Linked DNA regions of Oreochromis niloticus. The protein of the gene in region 2 interacts with the protein of the main gene of each other region in a biochemical or structural test. Links are inferred from orthologs where the notes say so. Each region holds a gene or a part of one and is shown on either strand. Other genes may lie near its edges. The genes, in order: pawr and dapk3.

Evidence for each region.
Region 1: of the proteins of dapk3 (region 2) and pawr, one has a biochemical effect on the other in vitro, tested with the Homo sapiens proteins (2 studies listed by BioGRID). The link is inferred for Oreochromis niloticus from reciprocal best matches to the Homo sapiens genes DAPK3 and PAWR.

The regions. Positions count from the first base shown.
Region 1 is NC_031981.2:15,983,130-15,993,239, reverse strand, and holds the start of pawr (PRKC apoptosis WT1 regulator protein), read right to left. Parts: upstream 4,813-10,110; 5' UTR 4,603-4,812; intron 4,371-4,602; 5' UTR 4,235-4,370; coding exon 3,668-4,234; intron 1-3,667. UniProt on the Homo sapiens protein: Pro-apoptotic protein capable of selectively inducing apoptosis in cancer cells, sensitizing the cells to diverse apoptotic stimuli and causing regression of tumors in animal models.
Region 2 is NC_031982.2:22,820,442-22,830,670, reverse strand, and holds the start of dapk3 (death-associated protein kinase 3), read left to right. Parts: upstream 1-5,780; 5' UTR 5,781-5,932; intron 5,933-6,614; 5' UTR 6,615-6,665; coding exon 6,666-6,727; intron 6,728-9,570; coding exon 9,571-9,931; intron 9,932-10,229. UniProt on the Homo sapiens protein: Serine/threonine kinase which is involved in the regulation of apoptosis, autophagy, transcription, translation and actin cytoskeleton reorganization. Involved in the regulation of smooth muscle contraction.

The DNA.
Region 1 (10,110 bases), on a different chromosome or scaffold from region 2:
TTGCAAGTGCATAATATCATTGTAATTGGTTCTTTTGAGCCATTTTCAGTTGAAAACACATTTTTCCTAAAACCTAGTTTAGTTTAATTTTATTTAGTCATGTCTGGTTCGTGTGTTAACAGGTTAACATGAGTTTGTATGAAGCACACAGTGTATTAACAACCCTGTGGTGTCGCAAATAACTAGGTTAAACAGGGAGCCCTCTTGTCTCCTGTATCATCCCATCACCAGAGTGTTAACTGCGTGAGCACTCGGCCCAGCATTGCACCTTAAACCTGTTGACCTCCTTTTCAATGACGCTGCAGACAAATAGCTCCGAGGGGCCAAATAGCTCCACACTCCCCAGCAGTGTTTGTGGAGCAGACTCAGTCATGTACATGAAACAAAGTTCACTGGCTGGAGCGGCAGACCACAACCTCATAACTCTCAGAGGTCATGAATTTTTTTAAAAAGCAACGGCACAATGACCGACATGAATCATCACCACAAGACTGCAGGCAGCGTGATCTGATGGGAAACATGCTTACATCACAACCCAAAACATTTTAAGATAAGAGAACTCACTGAATCTAAGCTCTTGTTTTCGCATTCCTCAGACACATATGAATGTGCGGTGCAGGTCAAAGGTCAGCATCGGCAACAATGCCCTCGGACCCGCAGGAGTGAGCAGGGTGAGAGAAAGGAGACACCGTCCCGGATCGCTGGAGGAGGTACTGACTGATGCAATGCAGAGCTGGGAGCTTTTATCGGGCCATTATGGCCTCAACAGGCAGAAGATTGGGTTCCCAGGATGCTATGAAATCCCGCTCAGCAGCTATTATGCTGCACAGAACGAGCGGGGAGATAATCCCAGGCATCTCTATTCACACCTGTCCACTAATATTCACATCACAAAGGCAGCTTGTGTGAGGAAGTCTTCATTTGCATAGTTTGCCCCCCCCCAATCCAACAGGAGGAGAAAAGAGAAAACTTTTCACAAAAGGAGTCCATCTGCCGGGCAACCGGTTTCTGGATTTTTGTGTTTCCATCTGTGTGCAAAGCTTGCAGGATCTCAAACCATGAGATAAAGCTTCCATAATTAAAGCTGGATTATGGGTAAACATTACTTTTAAATGGTGACACAATGCCAAAAAAATTTGAATATTAAGAAGAATATTAAACTAAAACAACAAAAGCACTAAGTTTTCTCAATACAGATAAAAAGTAGGAGCTGACGTTACTAATTCATCAATAAAGAGAACAATATAACATCAAAAAATTTAAATTTTATATTTTTTGTATAGTCTGAGTGTTATATTTGAGTTAATGAGATATACAGTAATTAAAATTGCAAATCTTTACTTTTTCCTGAAGGGGTTACTGCACCAGAGGCAGTGCAGGATATGACTTCAAACTGCAACTTTAGGAAGTCTGAAAATACTCGAGACAAATTTAAGATGCTGGAGGTTGATTATAGGAGTACACCCTTTAATGGTGAACTCAAACCAGGCGAGCATGTTTAAACCAAAGTCCAGTTCAGTAACGAGCGTTTATGCTTCATCGTGCTCGGTTCAGCCCACTAAAACAGATGAGATTGGGAATGGTTCACTGATCTCAGGCGTGGTAATCATCTGGTTTGATTGCACTTCCTTAAGACGAGCTGCTTCCGTGCAGTATGACTGAAATGTGATAAATACAGGAAGGCAGATGAGAGCACTGTACCCAGAAATAAACACAAAAAAGCCTCAAAGTACAAAGAATCATGGCGTCCACTGATCTGTGCACGAAAGGGAGACACATGAGCTCAGTGCAAGCACAACCTTAGATCCATTATATCCAGGAGGCTTATCATCTCATAGCTGGTTCACAGTCATTATTTAAAAATTAATAAATAAATTTGTTTGTAAACAAATGCATTTACGTAACTCTGACATAGCTGCCAAACTGATACGATCGTCTAAGCTGATAACCGTCTGACCCTGCTGACCGTCCGAATAACTGGCACGGGTGTGCGAAAGCATCGGAGACGTGTCAAAATGTCCCTGGGGATGCTCCTTCGAAATCACCGGCCTAACTATAACGCGAAACACATGCATTAATCTCATGTTACGCAGGTTTCTGATTGCCCGACTTGAGGAAAAGTTTGGCTTCCCATTCAGGAAATCTGTCACATTATATTTACCAGCAGAGGTACTTCAGCAGCTGAAGACAAAAGTCAAAGATTGATCTTTGGCTGCCTGCAGTCACCTGGGCTTTAGGTCTCCATTTGATCACCGCTAACGGAAGATAAGCGGAACAGTTTAATCACTGTTATCCAACTCCAGGTGCCGACGGTTGACAAAGTATGATGATCAGAACCTACCAATCTGAGTTGTGGAGTCGGATGAATACAAATGCTTTCAGCAATGAACCTTTTTTTAAATCTGCATAGTATTTGTCATTTTATTTAACAAATGTAGTGATCTGCCTTCAGCTGTACATAACTTTTAAATAACAATTAAAAGAGAACATTAACAGGAATTGCAAGGCGCTGACAGGAATTAGGGTATGTAAATAGTTTACAAGCACACTGGACACAGTGTTGGACTGCAAGCACATCAGCATCACCATAGCACCCAAGCCTAGTGCACAGAAAACCTGCAGTTTCTTTCATTGGACACTTAAAGCTGAATTAAAAACCAGCAGGTACGTCCATCTTTTATACTCTTACTCACTATACTTTTAGGGATAAGGACCTGCCTCGGGAAGTTCTACAAACTTTCTCAGACCACAGCACTTCCAGTTCTTTCTCTCTCTTCCCCGCTCACACAAATCAGCTCACCACCTCATCAGATCACCTCCTACCTCCCCCAATAATAGACGGTTCGCCCACTTTACTACATAATCAGCTGCCTATGGGCTCGATCTAGCATATCTGGCGCAGCCCAGAGTGCTGAAGCCCAGCATTACAGCCTGGCTTGTGACCAGTTTTCAAACGGCTTTGCTCGGCACTGCTGAGCACCTAATAACAGGATGTGGGGCTCCAACTGACAGGCTGGTCAAACTCCAAGTTGTGCTGCCCCAGGGGCATATTGTTCTGGGTGGCTATCAAATAGGAGAATGAAAGGTGGTCACAGACCACTTTGAAAGACACCAGAATACCATCCCCTTACCAAAAAAAAACAAAAAAACAAAAAGGGGGGGGGGGCATCTATTCCGAGAATTTCCGTGTAATTTGAGTGTTTTTTCAGTGTTGGCCAAGCTTCATATCAGAGTTCCTGCATGTGTCTGAACCACAGGAATCAGGCAGGACTGCGACATGATTTAAATCCAACAACAATGAATGTGCAACACACATACTGTACACCTCCACCCGCTCCCACCATCTGAGAACTGCTTTCATTTCAGTCCAGCAGAGGCTCAATTAAACCAGACACATGTATGGGAGGAATTTGGAGTGTAGGAAGGCAAGTGGTGTTCAAGTGCAACACACAGAAGCCACTATTTCCTTACAAAAATAAAAATAAAAATGCACAAGCATCAAGCATCCACCCATTTCCACATACAAGAGACTAACTTTCACTAATAGTTTTTTGGAAATACTTTTATTCCCAATAGAGAAAAAACATGACCAATCCCAAAACGAGCCTCCGAGTTATACCCATTCTGATGCTGAGGTGAATCTCTGCCCTCTTTTCCCCCGACTCACCTCATTGGATGGTATGTTCACGACACCTGTGGATCTCCTTTTTTCCCTTAGCTTCCTCTTCTCGATCTGTCCTTTCCCCTTCCTGGCGCTGGGCCCGGTGCTCTTCTTCTCCTTGCCCTTGCTGCTGGGTGACGGGCTTTCCTTGTCACTGTCGTTGCAAGCCATGGGAGTAGAGTCCTGAGTCTTCTCCGGCTGAGGCAGGGCCTTCTTCAGGTTGCTTCCCGGCGTGGCTGAGGGTGCCACGGGGTGGTGCATTTCCTCCTCGGGCCTCTTTAGAGAAGTGCCAGAGGAGGACCGAGCAACCGCGTAGGAGGAGGGGTGGCAGTTCCCAGCGGAGGAGCTTCGGTCCGGGTTGCCGTTGTTGGTGAACTCGGTGGCCGAAGGAAGAGGAGGAGGAGATGGAGGAGGAACGGCGTTGCGGCTGCTGTTTGTATTGCTGGCACCCAAGGGAGTACCAGTGGCTGCGGCAATGTCCCCCAGCATTTTGGCTCTCATTTTCTCCCGTTTTGCCTTCCACTCCTCCAAAAAGTCCGTCGCGGCGCTTGACTTGAATCCGCCTGTAGCCATGATCCCTTTTTTCTTATAAGTTCAAAGTCGAAGTGAGGAAAAAAAGTAACTTAAAAGTTGAAGTTGATATGAATTTTCAGCTCTCGGCCACCGTCCTAATTGCACCACATTCCTCAAGTGATTAACTCGGGAGCTGCTGAAAGGTAGAATGAAAATAAAGTCAGGACAAGTAAACTTTCAGCTGTTCATTATGGAGGCGTTCTCACCTCCACCTCGCGATACTCAGCGTGCAGGACGGGTTTTGTTTAAAAAGTAAGTTTACAAAGTCTGTTTATCTCTAAGGTAACTTTCCGCCCGAAAGAAGAAAGTCAGAGTGTGGAGAAGTGGACGAGAGAACAACAAAGGTCTAAATTCAGGTAGAAACTCACCTGAGTGGAGCTGTCTCGGTCGCTGAACTGCTCTTCACGGTCCAACCAGGTGTGCCCGAGCTGCTCTCACATGAACTGCTGTAGTCTGCGGAGCTGGGACCCGCCGTGCTCGCTCTACTCCTCTGAAAACACCGGCTTGAATCCCGAAAGTGCGCGAACACTTCCGACTGAAGCCGAAGCAGAGAAGGGGCGCTGTGTAATAACTCTTCACTGTTCCCACAGGTGCTTTCGGGTTTAAGGTTATTTGTTATAGCTTTTACAATACTTATCGGCGATATTTCCATAAAGATAAAGGTTAATATAGTTGTGTTAATTATTTTTATGATAACATTTCTGCATTTTCATGCTTCCTTATATGTAAGTTGTGTAAAGTGTATATGTACAAAGTTTCAAGCAGCCCAGATATTTTTTTTACAATTGTTTCTGTTGTTTTTAAATCATCAGTTATTTTATTTATCTATTTTTGTATGTGGATTCTTTTCTGTTTGCCATTTGTTATTGTTGCACAGGGGAACATATTTCTTCACTGTGAGTATGACAATAATTTTCTATAATTTATCTGTCTGTGTTACAAAAACTAGCCAAGACCAGTAAAATGACTGCAACCACTCCTTCCCTTTCTTTAATAAGGGCAAAGAAAGGAAAGGATTGCTTCCATTGTCAGTTAGAAATTTGATAAACATTTTCATTTGTATAAGATCTGCATTCATGCTCTTTAAATTAACTTTTTATTACCTTGCGGTAAGAAGAAAAAGTGTAAAGAAGAAGCATTGTCCCCTTTGATGAGCCACCCATTTACCCATTTACAAGAACATGATTAACAGCTTCGCAAGAATAAGGTCTGCTGTCATAACATGTGCATGTGTATTTAACAGTGCAAAAGCAACAACTCTTCACATGTACAGTTTCTTTTGTAATAAACATTCGTATTTTACTTCTTTATGATCCGAACAATGTGTCTAGGTCTAAAATTCTGTTCACCCCTGTGTAGTTATGCTGGCTTTGCATCACCACTCAGCAATCGAAATTCATTTTTTACAATTTCATTGCTGTTTTCATACTTTTTTTAGCCATCAGTTGGTCAAATTGGACCCTCTGGTGGGTCCAGACCTGTCCTTGAAAATCCATCCACTCCTTGCTTTAAGAGCTTTCTGTAATTCACTGAAAACTTTCTGTTTTGCTCTGAGAGTTGAGTGGAAGTTCGAGACCTTGAAAATGTGATTGTTAAAGTCCCCGTACACCTCTGCGGCTCGACTTGTGTCAACAGCAACAGTGTCGCTGATTTCACGTCTTCAGTGGCCCTTTGATCTTTGCACAGTCACAGTGGAACACTTCGGCACAAGGGCATTTCTCAACACCTTCTCTCACGCAGGTCCCACAGAGTCCCTTAGGCACCCGATAACTCACCCAACCAGCTCTGATCAGATGAAAAACCTGCTTTCAGGGAAACTTGATCCCCGGGTAGGGTGAGGGCAACTTTCGATGACTGAGCAGTTCATTTCATTTTTTTTTGTTATGACTTGACAATTTACAAGAAATGTGCGCTGCTCAAAGTTGAAACCTCGCTGACAGCGGAAAACTTCACTTTAAAAATCGACATGCAATTATATCTGTACTCAGTTGTTGTTCTGAAATATCTGAGTCCTCAAAGTTCTAAATAAGGCTTTCAGTAGACAGAACACATGTTTGATAACAATAATAAACCTCTATTACATTAAAAAAGAGCAAAAAATTTCAATCTGAGATCTCAGAAAGAGCCTTTAAACAGGGATATCACATAACTTAAGCTCTATGCATTTAGACCTGTACACATGGTCACGATGACATGCTGAAATTCAAACCGAGCATCAGAGTGAGGAAGAAAGATGATTTCGCTGACTTTGAATGCAGCACTTTGTTGTTGGTCTGAGTATTTCAGAAGCAACTGTTTTCCTAGGATTTTCCCATACAATGATCAACAATCTCTGAGGAGTGCTTCCTCAGTTTTGTTGAATCAATTCCATAACACATTAAGGCAAAAAAAACTGATGCTGGCAACATGCACCTAATAAAGTGGCCGGTGAGTGTATTTAGGGAGTTGTTTTGATGCAGTGTCCAAATTAACTAAACTGTTTATGATCATAAAAACTGTGCTGATGATTTCTGAGTCCAAATAAATCTCAGGATTGTTTGACTGCCATTTCTTAAACATCACACACTAACACAAAAAATTCAATTTCCGCTTAGTTCACAAAAAAAAGAGCAAGATTTCAGTTACACACCGCATATGTGGCTTCAGCAGATTTTCATCTAAATACTAAAGTGGGTATGTCTCAGAGTCTCAAATTTTCTCCTGAACTTATATTCCAAGTGGGAGCCGTGACCCATCTTGTTTTCCCTTTTCTCCTGAGAACTGGGCTTGTGAGGTGACAGGTTTGTGATTATACACCCCTCAGAGGCAGGGTAAAATCAATAAGACAATATTCATCTTGTAGTTGCTCGACCAATAAATAATCCACTGTCACAGCATAAAAAAATCCTGCGGATGATATAACTGACAGCTTGCTGGTTTTCCATTCCCTCTGATAATTTCCTGATACATGGACAATATTTCTAAGATAGCAAAATGCAGTTCTAGTGATGTTTGTAACCTGAGATTGAAAAGATAAGCCACAAGCAATCTTCATGATTTGTGTTTGTAACTTTTTGTAAATGATACAGATATTTTTATGCAATTACAGCCGTTTCAAACTAAAATGAGTCCCAAAGAGTAAAGATTGGTTTCAGGTGAGTTAGCTGGGTCTGTATTGTAGAGTGACTGTGGCTCTAGAACAGGTTGCTTCCTAATCAGAAGGTCAGTGGTTTGACCCCCAGCTCCTCTGGTCTGCATGTTGCGCGTGTAATGTTATAGTTAAGAAAAACAAACAAAACAACACAAATGGGTGAATAAGGCTTGCATTAAGAAAGCGTTACGAGAGCTTAAATAGAGTAGAAAGGCACTATATAAGCACCAGTCCATTATTCATTGAAAGTAACATAATTACAGTTACTTAAATTGCCCCAGTGAGCTGTGACACATCAGTCTGTGTTGCTATGACGATTTTATCTCTGTGTTTACATGAAAAGGCAATTAAAATGTTAAATGAATTAACATAAGTAGCTTTCCTATCATTAAGTAAAAGATATAAAATATGGGCGCAATGCTGGAATTTATAGTACACTCTTAGTCTTATCAGCCATTTAAAGCCGCCTACACCCATCCATCCATTCACTTCCGCTTATCCTTTTCAGGGTCGCGGGGGGTGCTGGAGCCTATCCCAGGTGACTTAGGGTGAGAGGTGGGGTACTCCCTGGACAGGCAACCACTTGCGCTCACATTCACTCCCCCATTCACACCTATGGACAATTTAGTGTTTCCAATTAACCTATCCCCACTATCTGCATGTCTTTGGACTGTGGAAGGAAGCCGGAGAACCCGGGGAGAACCCACGCAAACAGGGGGAGAACATGCAAACTCCATACAGAAAGACCCCGGCCCGATGGTGGAATTGAACTCAGGACCTTCTTGCTGTGAGGCAACATATTTACATATTGTTGGTGTTCACTGTCTTGCCTGATGACACTTTGGGACACATACTGAAGGAGCTGCGAATCAAAGCCACCAATCTTCCCATTAGATGACCTACGCTGTCTCCTGAGCCACGGCTGTGTGACTTCACAGGGCTTAGGGCTTCTTCATGAAACATCTTAAGGCCTGATCATTGCTTTCAAGAAAAGTGCTTCACAAATCCAGTATACTTCTATTATTAGTGCACAAAGAAAATGCCAGAGAAGCTCTCTTCGAGGACGAGAAGCGCAGTGACAGTTTTGTGAGGGAGTCAACAAATGATAAAACTGTTTTTAAGCTCAAGCACAAACTCAAAACAAGGAGTTAATATGATGGGAAGCCGCACAACAGCTACCAGCTCATTAAAATACAGCAGGTTTGCAGCTTTCAGTCGAGTCTATGTATAACTTTGTTTCTAAAAACAAGTCCCAAAGACATCATTATCATTTCAAACCTGTTCTGGAGTTCTCCTGCATAATGAGCCGAAGTTAGAGGAAGTGTAATTAATACAACATCCTGCGAGTCATTGCAGCATGCTGTTGCAAAGCTCCGTTGTTATTACTCTGCATTGCATTCCAGTTATATTCCAGCCACGTGCATGCCATTACCCAACTGTACAAGCACAGGTTTCTCCCCGTGCAGTGATTTAAACCTGCTATAGGTGCTTACTGTCAGGAACCTAATTTCATGCTACGATAATAGCCCCATAACTCACCTGTGCTGAAGGATATGAGCCTTTTGGTGTTAGATTTGTGTGCGGCCAGCTTGCTCACAAGGGTGCACTGACTTTAAGGGAAGTTTACCACAGATACTCAAATGTACATATCTGAAATAGAATCGGCTTACATGTTATTAGATCGGTGTTTTTCTGCCTTAAAGATCAGAAAATGTGACCTATCTACGTGTCTCAGGAGCGAGTGGGAGGCCAGGCATTCAGCCATTATCTCTGCATGTGCTAACCCTGGTACAGATAATGAGAAAACCTGGGTGGAGCATGGGAGTGAGGTGCCTCTCCTAAAAATAAACCTTGATCTATGGACTCGGGTCACTCTGCTGCATATTTAGCATATTTCTGTCTGCTGTTGAGGAGGGGGAGAAAAAAAAGAATGAGGATCGGGGGTGCTTAAAGGCTGTCGCTAAGTGTTTCCTTTCATGCCAACACAAACGCTGCTGTGCAACTTAAATGCCCAATAGCATTCCAGTAATGCATTACCGAAATAGCCAAGCTCAAGCTCTGTATATAATGAACACTGAATTTGTATTCAAAGTACCCAACAAGACTCTGAGAGCTTTAATAAGTGGCCCTATCATGCATTTTGTAACCCATAACACATTTATGGTAAAGAGGAATAAAATGCAGCGCTCGCTAGGCTGTAAAATGAGCAGTGCACGTAAAAATATATTAAACATAACAGTGTGTAATGGCCACTCTTGCATTCACACATTTTCATTTATTTGACAGTAATGCTGCAGTCAGGAGCTATTAGGTGGGTAATTCTGTAGCGAGCAGACTCAATCGAGCTCGCTCCCCCATGAAATTGTTTGTCCAATCTAGGGAAGTATTCACGAAATGTTTCTCCCAAGCCTCCCAGATGTTTGCACACAGATGCCGAGTGGGCCAGGAGTCCACAGAATGGGGGATTTTCACAAGAGAAAGCCTGAGAAATATTTTTTGTTTGTTTTTAAATGAGAATCTGGTGATTGTGATGTGTTGTTGTTTCATAGAAGAAAAGAGTCACAATTCAGGTGTTCCTGTGATGAATCCACTGCCTTATTAGGTACACCTGTTCATCAGATCATCACATGGAGACGTAGTCAAAAAAGTTCAAACTGAGCATCAGAATGGGGACGAAAGGTAATTTAAGGGACTTTGAATGCAGGTTGATGGTACCAGCCAGGCTGAGTATTTCAGAAACTGCTGA
Region 2 (10,229 bases):
ATCTAGTAACAGGCCTGAGCGAAGGCCCAAATGTCTTCTGCTTCTTTTTGTAACCTGTTGCACTTTAGTCTACTTGGTAACAGATGACTGGAGGCGATAACCAGCCCTCAGACACCCTGAAGGCTTAAGATTATGACTTTGCATGGAAGGTGTTATAAAAAGGAGAAGTTTTTTGTCTGTTTATAGCCATTAAAGATGTACAAGATGTACCATTGACTGTAAACAATGTATTTTTAATCTGTAATCACGCCATGAGGGGGGCGTAACCCTGATGAATGAAACCATTCTGAACTGAGCTGTTCGGGGAAGATCGATGCTGGTGCTGCAGTATACATCTTCCCATGTGTGTGCTCAATAAATCATTGTTTGACTTAATTCTTCTGGACCAGTGTTGTTTTGTGCCCTCCCTCAATATTTGAACTCGCGACAGCATCCAAACTGCAAATGAATCGCGCATGAACGAAGCCACAGCAGTAAATGTACATTTTTCTTTGTCTAAACTAAATCAATGCACTAAAACATCATTCCAACACAGTCACTTACTCACTTCCTCCACTGTGTGTGAGCCTCTCTGTGACATAAGCTAAACAAATAGCTAGCTAGCTCATCAAGTCTCAGTCTAAACTGTACACTCAAAAATACAGAAAAGAGTGGGAATCAAACCCTGAATTTAAGGACTGGTCGAAGCCGTTTATTGGAGATGATACTCTTGCATACTGCCTGTATTGCAAGGCTGATTTCTATGCCAAACTGAGTGATGTGAAAAAACACATGCTAACACAAAAAACATACTCAAAAGGCAAAGCCTTATAACAGTTCCACCCAAATGAAACTGCCGTTTATTACTAAAAAAAAGTGACTCTGCAAAAAGTTTATTATTCTTTAATAAAGCTATCGCTGAACACTGTTCCATGCTGGCATGTGATCATATTGGAGAGGCATGTAGAGCTGCTTTCTCAGACTCCACTGCCGCTACCCATTTCAAAATGCACAGGACAAAGTGCACAGAAATGATTAATGGTGTTCTGGCACCATACTTTCTGAAAAAGTTGGTTGCAGATGTGGGTAATCAGCGTTTCAGCCTCCTCCTCGATGAGTCCACAGATATAAGTGTTTCTAAATGGCCTGGTAAATGGCCTGTATTTATATAGCGCTTTACTAGTCCCTAAGGACCCCAAAGCGCTTTACATATCCAGTCATCCACCCATTCACACACACATTCACACACTGGTGAATTCTAAGTACCTGGGGGTTGTCATAAGGTACTTTAGTGACACCAAGGAGACAATTGTGTTCAATTTTCTTGGGCTTGTTGAGTTGGAGGGAGGAGATGCCAGATCTATAGCTCGTGTTGTTGTGGCTTTCCTTGAGAAGTGTTGTCTTAAAAAAGACAAACTCTTGGGGATAGGGACCGACAATGCACCTGTGATGACAGGGATTAACAATGGGGTCCATAAAGAGCTGAAGGAGGAGTATGGCCTCAAAGATCTTGTTCTTATTCGCTGTGTATGCCACTCTCTGCAGCTTGCTGTAAGTCATGCTTCCAATGACACCATACCCCGTAGTGTGGAGTACTTGGTTTAGTGTCTCCAAAGCGCAAGGAGGTCTACAAGGCCATTTATGAGACCATCACCTGTGAGGAGAAACCTTTACAGATAACCAAGGTGTGTGCCAAACGTTGCCTCTCCATTGAACCTGTGGTTTCACGCATTTTGGACCAGTGGGATGACCTTAGGCTGCATTTTGCAGTCAGCAAGTCCAGTGAACATTGCTACATGACTGAAGTTTTACACTCCATGTACAATGATCCTCAAAATATCTTGTACATGTCTTTTCTGAAGTCATTGCTGGGAGAGGTACAGACCGCCATCAAGGCTTTTGAAGAAGAACAGGTAGATCTCTTAAACTACTTTACATCTTGGTAAGCCTGATCAAGTCTGTGAGCAGCAGGGTGCTGAATCCACTGGCAAATGTTGATGTACTCAAAGAGCCAGTAGAGGGATACATCAGTTCCAAACCATACCTTGGTTACCTTTTTTGAGTCAAAAGCAGCTGAGTTGCACCTTGCGCCTGAGGATGAAAAAAATATCAGAAAGCAGTGTGTAGCCTTTACCATATCCCTCACTAATGAGTTGAGGGTGAGACTGCCTGACAACATTGAAGCATTGCAGTACATGTCAGTTTTCAATGTGGAGGAAACTCTAAAGCACAACAAGAGCCCTGGAGAAATAGAAAAAATTGCTAAACTCTTTGGCTTCTCCCCTGAAGTGATAGATAAGATTGTCCACCAATGGCATACCATCCATCTTAGGAAATGGAATGAGACAAAAAACACAATAGACTTCTAGAGTGAGATTTGGAAGTACAGGGATGCAGCTGATATCAACCCGTTTTAAGAACTTGCCATGGCTGCTGTGTCTGTGTTGTCCTTGCCACACTCAAATGCTGAAGTTGAGAGAGTATTCAGCCAGATGAGTGTGGTAAAAAGCAAACTTAGAAATGTCCCTGCAGAGCCTTAACTCCATCCTGTGCATCCGATATGGACTGAAGCTGTCTGGTGAGGCTTGCTATGAGCACCAGCTGCCTGATAATGTTTTGCAGCTTTTTGGCACATCAGGTGCTTACTCATTTAAGTCAAGTGCTACAGTTGCTGAACCTGCCATAGAGAATCTTGACGAAAATGAGGATGAGCCACTAGTTCTGTGAGCCAGCACAGCCTATGTGTTTGGAGAGATACCTGAAAAACACACACACACACACACACACACACAAAAACAATCAGCCTGAATTAGGAGCAGACTAGTCCCCATCGTTTTTTTCACATTGCGACTGTTTATTTCTACTGTCTGTTTTTGGTCCATTTAGATTCCTAATGTGGTTTGTTAACAACAGTATGGTTAAAAATGTTCAATTGATGACCAATTATGCAAATTAGGCGATGAGGTCATTTAGCGACTTGTAGCGATTTTTTGGACTGCCAATAGCGATTTTCCTTACTGAGGAGTTGGCAACACTGCCTCCAGTATGGGCCACTCCAGAGCCTTTTCGACAGCGCTGCAGACCTTGGGGGGAAAGCATTGTTGTGGAAATGACACAGTCTTCACTAGTGGGGATAGTTACAAAGCTTTCTTCGTTATGAATTAGCGATAAATGTTTTTATTGAACATTTGAAGATAAAACAACACAAACTCTTGTAAATGACATAAAGTCAGAGATAGAAACGGCAAGGAGCAGGCGCATCTAGTACACGTAGAGCTGCCACAGAGCTCAGCAGGCAGCGCCACAAATTCTGGATCCTTGGCTCTTAGTTAGCAGTTAGCATTAGCAGCACATGGTGCGTCCGCTGTGAAAGGGCCTTTATGCTGCGCACTGTGACTCACAGCAGTGGTCCCGGGTCAGCCCTGACTTTGTGTTAAAAGAATCCTAAAGTAATAATGCTATTTCTAATCTACAAACACAAATCTTTTTTACACACACACAAATTCTCATCTGTAGATGCACAAACATAAAATTCTTACATATTTTGGTTTACAAGGTTACAAAACTTAGTTCAAAATTATGCATTTGATTTACCAGCACAAAATATTTATGACCACAATTTGAGCCCATAAATGGCACCAACCAAGTGCAATTTTCCCCATGTAACAAAGTATTTAATTCTATTTGTAGTGTTTTATTCTACTTGGCATTTCTATTTTTATTTCTTTTATAGTACTTATTCTATTATATGCAGTATTCTTTCTATTTTATATAGTATGTTATTCTGTTTATCTTAATATATTCTCCTTTTTCTCTTAATTTTTTTTTTTTTTTCCTGCTCTTGTACTTCCTGCCGTGACCAAAAATTTCCCATGTGTGGGACTAGGTTTATCTTATCTTATCTTATCTGAGATAAAACAATTATCATATGCTTCCACACTCAGGTGTGGGATTTGCATCCTTTCACCGTCCCTGGTGGTCTAGTGGTTAGGATTCGGCGCTCTCACCGCCGCGGCCCGGGTTCGATTCCCGGTCAGGGAACTCATTTTTCAAACAATGTCAACTTTGTACACCTTTGAGCACATATCAAATTCTAATTATGAACTCCTTGGCTCTTTTAACCAGATTTATGCAGAAAACGAAATATCCTGCTGTCCAAATCCTCACTAGCATCATAAGGCATGGACCTTATGGATACTGTCGTCCTTATTTAAACTTCAATCATAATATCCAAGAGCAGAGTGTGGAGGACTGCATGGGAAAATCCGAGAAGACATGAGGGTCTACTCGGATGTCTGCATACTGTGTATTTTTTATGATCAGTACTTGTCCACAGAAACAAATACATGTTGTTATTAGAGCCTGTTTCTACCAGCAACTCCTTACCTTTTTGATCTTTTAACCATGTAGACTCTCAGAATAGCATTCAGGTCAGATGACCAGATGCGTCTGGTCGCACAGAGTAGCAGATTAGAGCACTGATGAGATCTTATCTCTGCTGTACCTGCACCTAAACTTTGGAGCAAACCAGAAGCTCATATTCAACACATGTTCAAAACATGTTCATTCTAAGCCTCCATCTGGCTGACGATATCAACATTATATGCACGATTCTGAAAGCGCCAACACGGGTTATCTATGGTCCCTGGTGGTCTAGTGGTTAGGATTCGGCGCTCTCACCGCCGCGGCCCGGGTTCGATTCCCGGTCAGGGAACTCATTTTGAAAATGCAAGAACGACCAAAGTCGCTGAAAGTGCTGTCCATTCCTATCCTGCATCAACCCTCCTGCTAAAATCCCGGCCTATTCCACTAACCAGATAACTACTTATTATTTTCCAGAAAACATACTCGTATTGTGTCTAATTAGAGTATTTTAATAAGTTAGTCGTTATTAGAAACCCCGTTGTTATGTGTTCATGTGTATCACTGTCTAATAGTGTGCCTCTTCCCTGCTCTGGCCTCTCTTTAATTTTCGCTGCTGCATGCTGGGTCTTGTTGCTCACTGACGTACTGCAGCGGGCTGATTCACTCAGCATGATGTCATTCCATATGTCCTCCCTTCTGTCCGGTGTTTACCTGCGTCAAGATGCGCAACGACAGCGGAACTTAAACCACTTCAACTTTCACAATAAAGGTTTTCTTACGAAATCAAGGCTAAATATTTCTATTTGCCTGATAAGCTCTCAACTTAAACTTAATGCAGTGGTGCCACATAGTGTGAAATGATTCTTATTAGTTTTTTATGGCTGGTTCATATCTTAAACATATCAAAAAAAAAATTGCCAAAGAAAAAGAACTGCTCTCGTTTTAGCCAAACGAGAGCTTAGCTGTGGTTTTGTGGGGCCTTAAATAGAATTTGACATCACCCAAGCTGACCATATCTTGATTGAATTGAAGGTTTGTTTGATAATTCTGTTGATCTTACATTACTGATACGTATTCATGGAAACATTTCTTCACGCTTCTCTTTTTTCTTTTTAGCCCCAGAGGGATAAATCCTTTTGGTATAGAATAGAATAGGTCTTTATAGTCACTGTTACAAAAACAGTGAAACACAGTTTGGCATTCTCCGTTGGCACCATGTAGATTTACATTCAGATTGTTTTAGCATAGGAGAAAAAAGATAAAAATAGACATAAGTTTAAGGGTACCTTCTCAGGGAATGTGTGTAACACACAATAAAGTAAGTATCTACACAGTAACACAGGCATTTACGGGGGGGGATTGAAGATGTTAACACGTTAATTGGGCGTGACCAGGATGGACAAGATTAGAAATGAGTACATCAGAGAGTGGTTTGGCGACTGCGTTGTTTGGCGCCGAAGGTTATTGCTTTTACTTTTGAAGGGCACCGGAAGCTGTGTTCCGCCGCAGTTAGCTTGATGTTTCTCAGTCGGGGAGTTCACACACAACTACTTGGCAAAGGAATGCAGCACTCGTAGCCAGCCGTACTGTAAGTATCTGTAGTAGAAATCCCTTCACTTTTATGTGACTGAATATATGCGTTGTTGTCAGTATTTGAGTTACTATGAATCCTTTTCTTTGTCTTTATTAAGCGCTGTGTTTCTACAGAACGCTAATGTTAGCTTCACAGCTAAGCTAGCTGCTTTCCGTCGTCGGGATTCCCTTTATTTCTTTCCTTAAGTTCTTTAAACATCCTTCAGATTCTAATAAGTTAACACGATGATCCCTTTTCACGAGTTTACCTTTGTGTTTGCTTTAAATAGGTGTTCCTTTGTGTCGTTTTTCATTTATGATGGAAAAGTGCAATATAAACGTCGCAATTTAGCATCTTTTTAAAGTCATTATCTATGTATGGTCAGTTAAACATTCATTCATTTGGCTCGTAGTTTGTTATCTAGCCAGTGAAAGGTAACATAGTTGGTTGTGTAGTCCCTTTAATTGAGTCGGAGAGCTGATCCCGGGAAGGACATGATGTAGTAGGACTGGTATGCAGAGGTCTGACATCAGCTAAAAAGTCTCCAAAGCAGTGTTGACTCCAAATAAGGAGGGAAGAAGCCCTAAAGTGCTAACACTGTCTTATCACTTCCTCCATACTCTGTACTCTGTGGTGTCTGTGGCCTCTGTGTCACATATCCACGTTTAAGTTTTGTTTTTTGTTTTTTTGACTGCAGGAAATCTGAAGGCGTTACTCCCATCATCATCATCATAAGAGTCAACACACCATGGCTGGCTTCAGACAAGAGGATGTTGAGTTGTACTATGAGATGGGAGAGGAGCTGGGGAGGTAAGCTTTGTGGGTCTTTTTAAAAACATTTAATTGAAAGCATTATATGTGAAAACTCTGCTGTCTTCTTCATTGCTGTCCTATTCAGCTGTTGTGCTGTATGCTTCAGTTCATCTGAAAGTGTAAGGACACTTTTTGCTGTAGTGCTTTGATGACAAAGTTTGGTTAATTTGTAAAACACATTTTTTTAAGTTCCTCTTTTTAGGATGTGTAAGTGATATTTTTTTTCTGCTTGTCAGTGCTCCATAATTAAAAACAGACCTAAATGTGAAATGCAATCATCACACAAGGCTGCTTGAGATGGATTTTAATGCCAGGTCGGCATGATCTGAACAGGGCTAGATATTTGATATGTGTGAGCAGTAGGGCTGCCACAAACGATTATTTTGATAGTCGACTAGTCACCGATTATTTTTGCGATTAGTCGACTAATCAGATCATGCATCCATTGGACGTAAAATGTACACCTGAAAATATGTTAAACGTTTATTTTGTGACCCAGAAAGAATAATAATTGTAATATTAAAACTAACTAGCTGCCGCCATTGTTGACAACTGCGCTGGGCCGCGCTATGAATTCTGGAACACAGTTTCTTCTTCTTCGGGGTTTAATGGCAGCTGGCATCCTTGTACATGCAGTGCTGCCATCTTCTGTTTCAGTCCGTTATTACACTCTTAAATACTACTACTTATTCCTGCGTCTTTTGGGATCTTACAAAGCTTCAAACGACGCGTCGACTATTAAATTAGTCGTCGACGATTTTAATAGTCGACGTAATCGTGACTAGTCGACTAATCGTGGCAGCCCTAGTGAGCAGCACTGTATTAAATGCCGTCTTTAATCCTTTTCTGCTGTGCTGGATAGTTTGTGAATGAGTCATCACATTTTTGGAGATGAAACACAACTTTCTGGCTTAGCTTTTTTTTTCTGCAGTAATGCAGCAAAAGTGTGACGTCACTGCCTCTCATTGTGCCTTTGCACCTCTGCTGTAGTGTAAGAGAGGGGACTCTGTGTGTGTGTATGCAGATACTAAATGGATCTAAACCACACATTTGTGCTTAATAGTCTATGTGGAATAAAACAGACTTTTCTTGTTTTTAGTTGTGTTAATGATAGTTTTGTTGTGCTGACAACACACTATTTTGCTTTCTTGAGCTTCAGTCAGAGATTTTAACTTCTGTTTGGATAACAGACATTTCATTTAATTCCGGATGGAGCATTTTCAGTGGCAGAAACTTTTTGTCACTCATCCAAGTAACTTCTTCAGTTCAGTCTCTGCTGACTGCAGACTGCAGCACCACTGATTAACAATGGGCTGTGAGGTCAGTTTCATGATCATTCATATTCAAATTGTCATGACCATTGATCAGTGCCCAAGAGTACCTTTGTGAGGATAGTGTTCTCTCTGTGTTGTAGTGTTCTGATGATGACACATTTGTGCTCTAGTGGATGACGAGAGTCAAAACCTTAAATACTGATCCGTGTGCGTCGGTTTACGGTACACGTCGACTTTTAAGTGTCCCCCATTACTGATGGAAATTTCACAGTCTAAGAAGGCTAGCACAGCACAGTTGGACCAGCAGTATTTATACTTGCAGGCCAGTGACTCTTTCAGTGATGAGGATGTACACATCCTGCACAGGGAGCATTTATGTGAAAATGGAAAGACCATCTGTGAATTGAGGAAGGAGCTCAGGGTACATCTTTCACCATCTTACAATGCTGTGATTGCAGGCCATTGATCATTGGCCATGATAATTTGCATATCAATGATCATGAAACCATTGTTAATCAGTGGTGCTAGTTTTGATCATCATCATCATGTGCGGTTTGTTGGGGAATTTTGGCTCTAGAATACTTTGGTATACAGAAGAATTCGGTGTCGAGTCAGTGACTGTAGGGTGTCCGTGTCCTGTGGCTGCAATAAAAGGCTGGATCATCACCCCTCCACCACCGTGTTTGATAGTTGATGTGTTGTGTTTGATTTTGCCATATGTTGGTGTGCATTATGGCCAGATATCTCCACTTTGGTCTTGTATGTCCAAAGCAGATTGTTTCAGAAGTCCTGTGGTTTGTTCAGATGTGATTTTGCTGCCAAGTTTTTTGTTTGTTTGTTTTTTTTCCTTTTTTTTTTCTTTCCAAAAATTTAACAAACTTTAACATTTAATATGTTAACTGAGGTCTCTAGAGTCTGAGATGTAGTTCTTGGGTGTTTTTTGCAGTTTCTCTGAGTGTTGAATGGTCTGATGTTAGGGTGAATTTGCTAGGATCTAAACTTATGGGATGACTTAATGCTAAAGATTAGCAAACTCCCAAAACCTATGCTTTTATAGAGGTCCTCACACTTACTGTTGATCAAGTGCATTTGATGACTTGCAGCAGCTGGCTGGCACTTAATTCCTGTGGAGGCAGAAAGGGTGTGCTTTGTTTGCCAAAGGACTGTAAATGGGCTTGACTTTTTGGGGGGGTTTTTTCCTCCTCTGGTTAAGCCGTATATGTGAATGGAGTGATGAAAAAAGCAAATAAAACAATTAAAAAAGACAAGACATGACGGGTTTTGACACTACAGGATTTTACTTGAATTTGATCCAAGTTCATTGTCTATACAGGGTTTTATTTACAAGATCTGAAATCCAGAAAGGGCAAAAGCAGGAAAAAAAATAACACTAGATACAACTGATGTATTAGCTAAAAGCATTTTGAAGTCTTTCCTGATAAATATCTACGATGATGGACAGAGTTGCAGTATCTTCTGCTTAAAAAACATCTTTTTTTTCCCCCCATCAACACATGAGGTAGGAGAAAATTGCATTGACATCTCTCTGATGTTTCCTCTCTGCAGTGGACAGTTTGCCATCGTCCGTAAGTGCAAGGAGAAGAGCACAGGCGTCGAGTATGCAGCCAAGTTTATCAAGAAGCGGCGCCTGTCGTCCAGCCGGCGGGGGGTGAGCCGGGAAGAGATTGAACGCGAGGTCAACATCCTGCGTGAGATCCAGCACAGCAACATCATCACCCTGCATGACATCTTTGAAAACAAGACGGATGTGATCCTGATCCTGGAGCTGGTGTCTGGAGGAGAGCTGTTCGACTTCCTGGCAGAGAAAGAATCTCTGACCGAGGAGGAGGCCACGCAATTTCTCAAGCAGATCTTGGACGGCGTTCAGTATCTCCACTCCAAACGCATCGCTCACTTCGACCTCAAGGTCAGCACTGAGGGGAAACTTGAGGGGCTCTGATACAGCAGTGGTAGATGACATGTTGGTGTGAGCAGACAAACACGCCTGCCCTGATTATTGTGGGGTAAAAACATGCTAAAATATATTTTGGGTTAAATATCTTAACATTAATGAAATCATATTTTCAGGGACGACTACTCTCAATGGGGTCAATGTAATCATCTTATTTTTGATAGCTAAAAGTCAGACATAAGCTTCTAAAAAAGGAAAAGACTACTAATCTTTATCGATAAAGATATGGTGACCAAAACATTTAAACTGTACT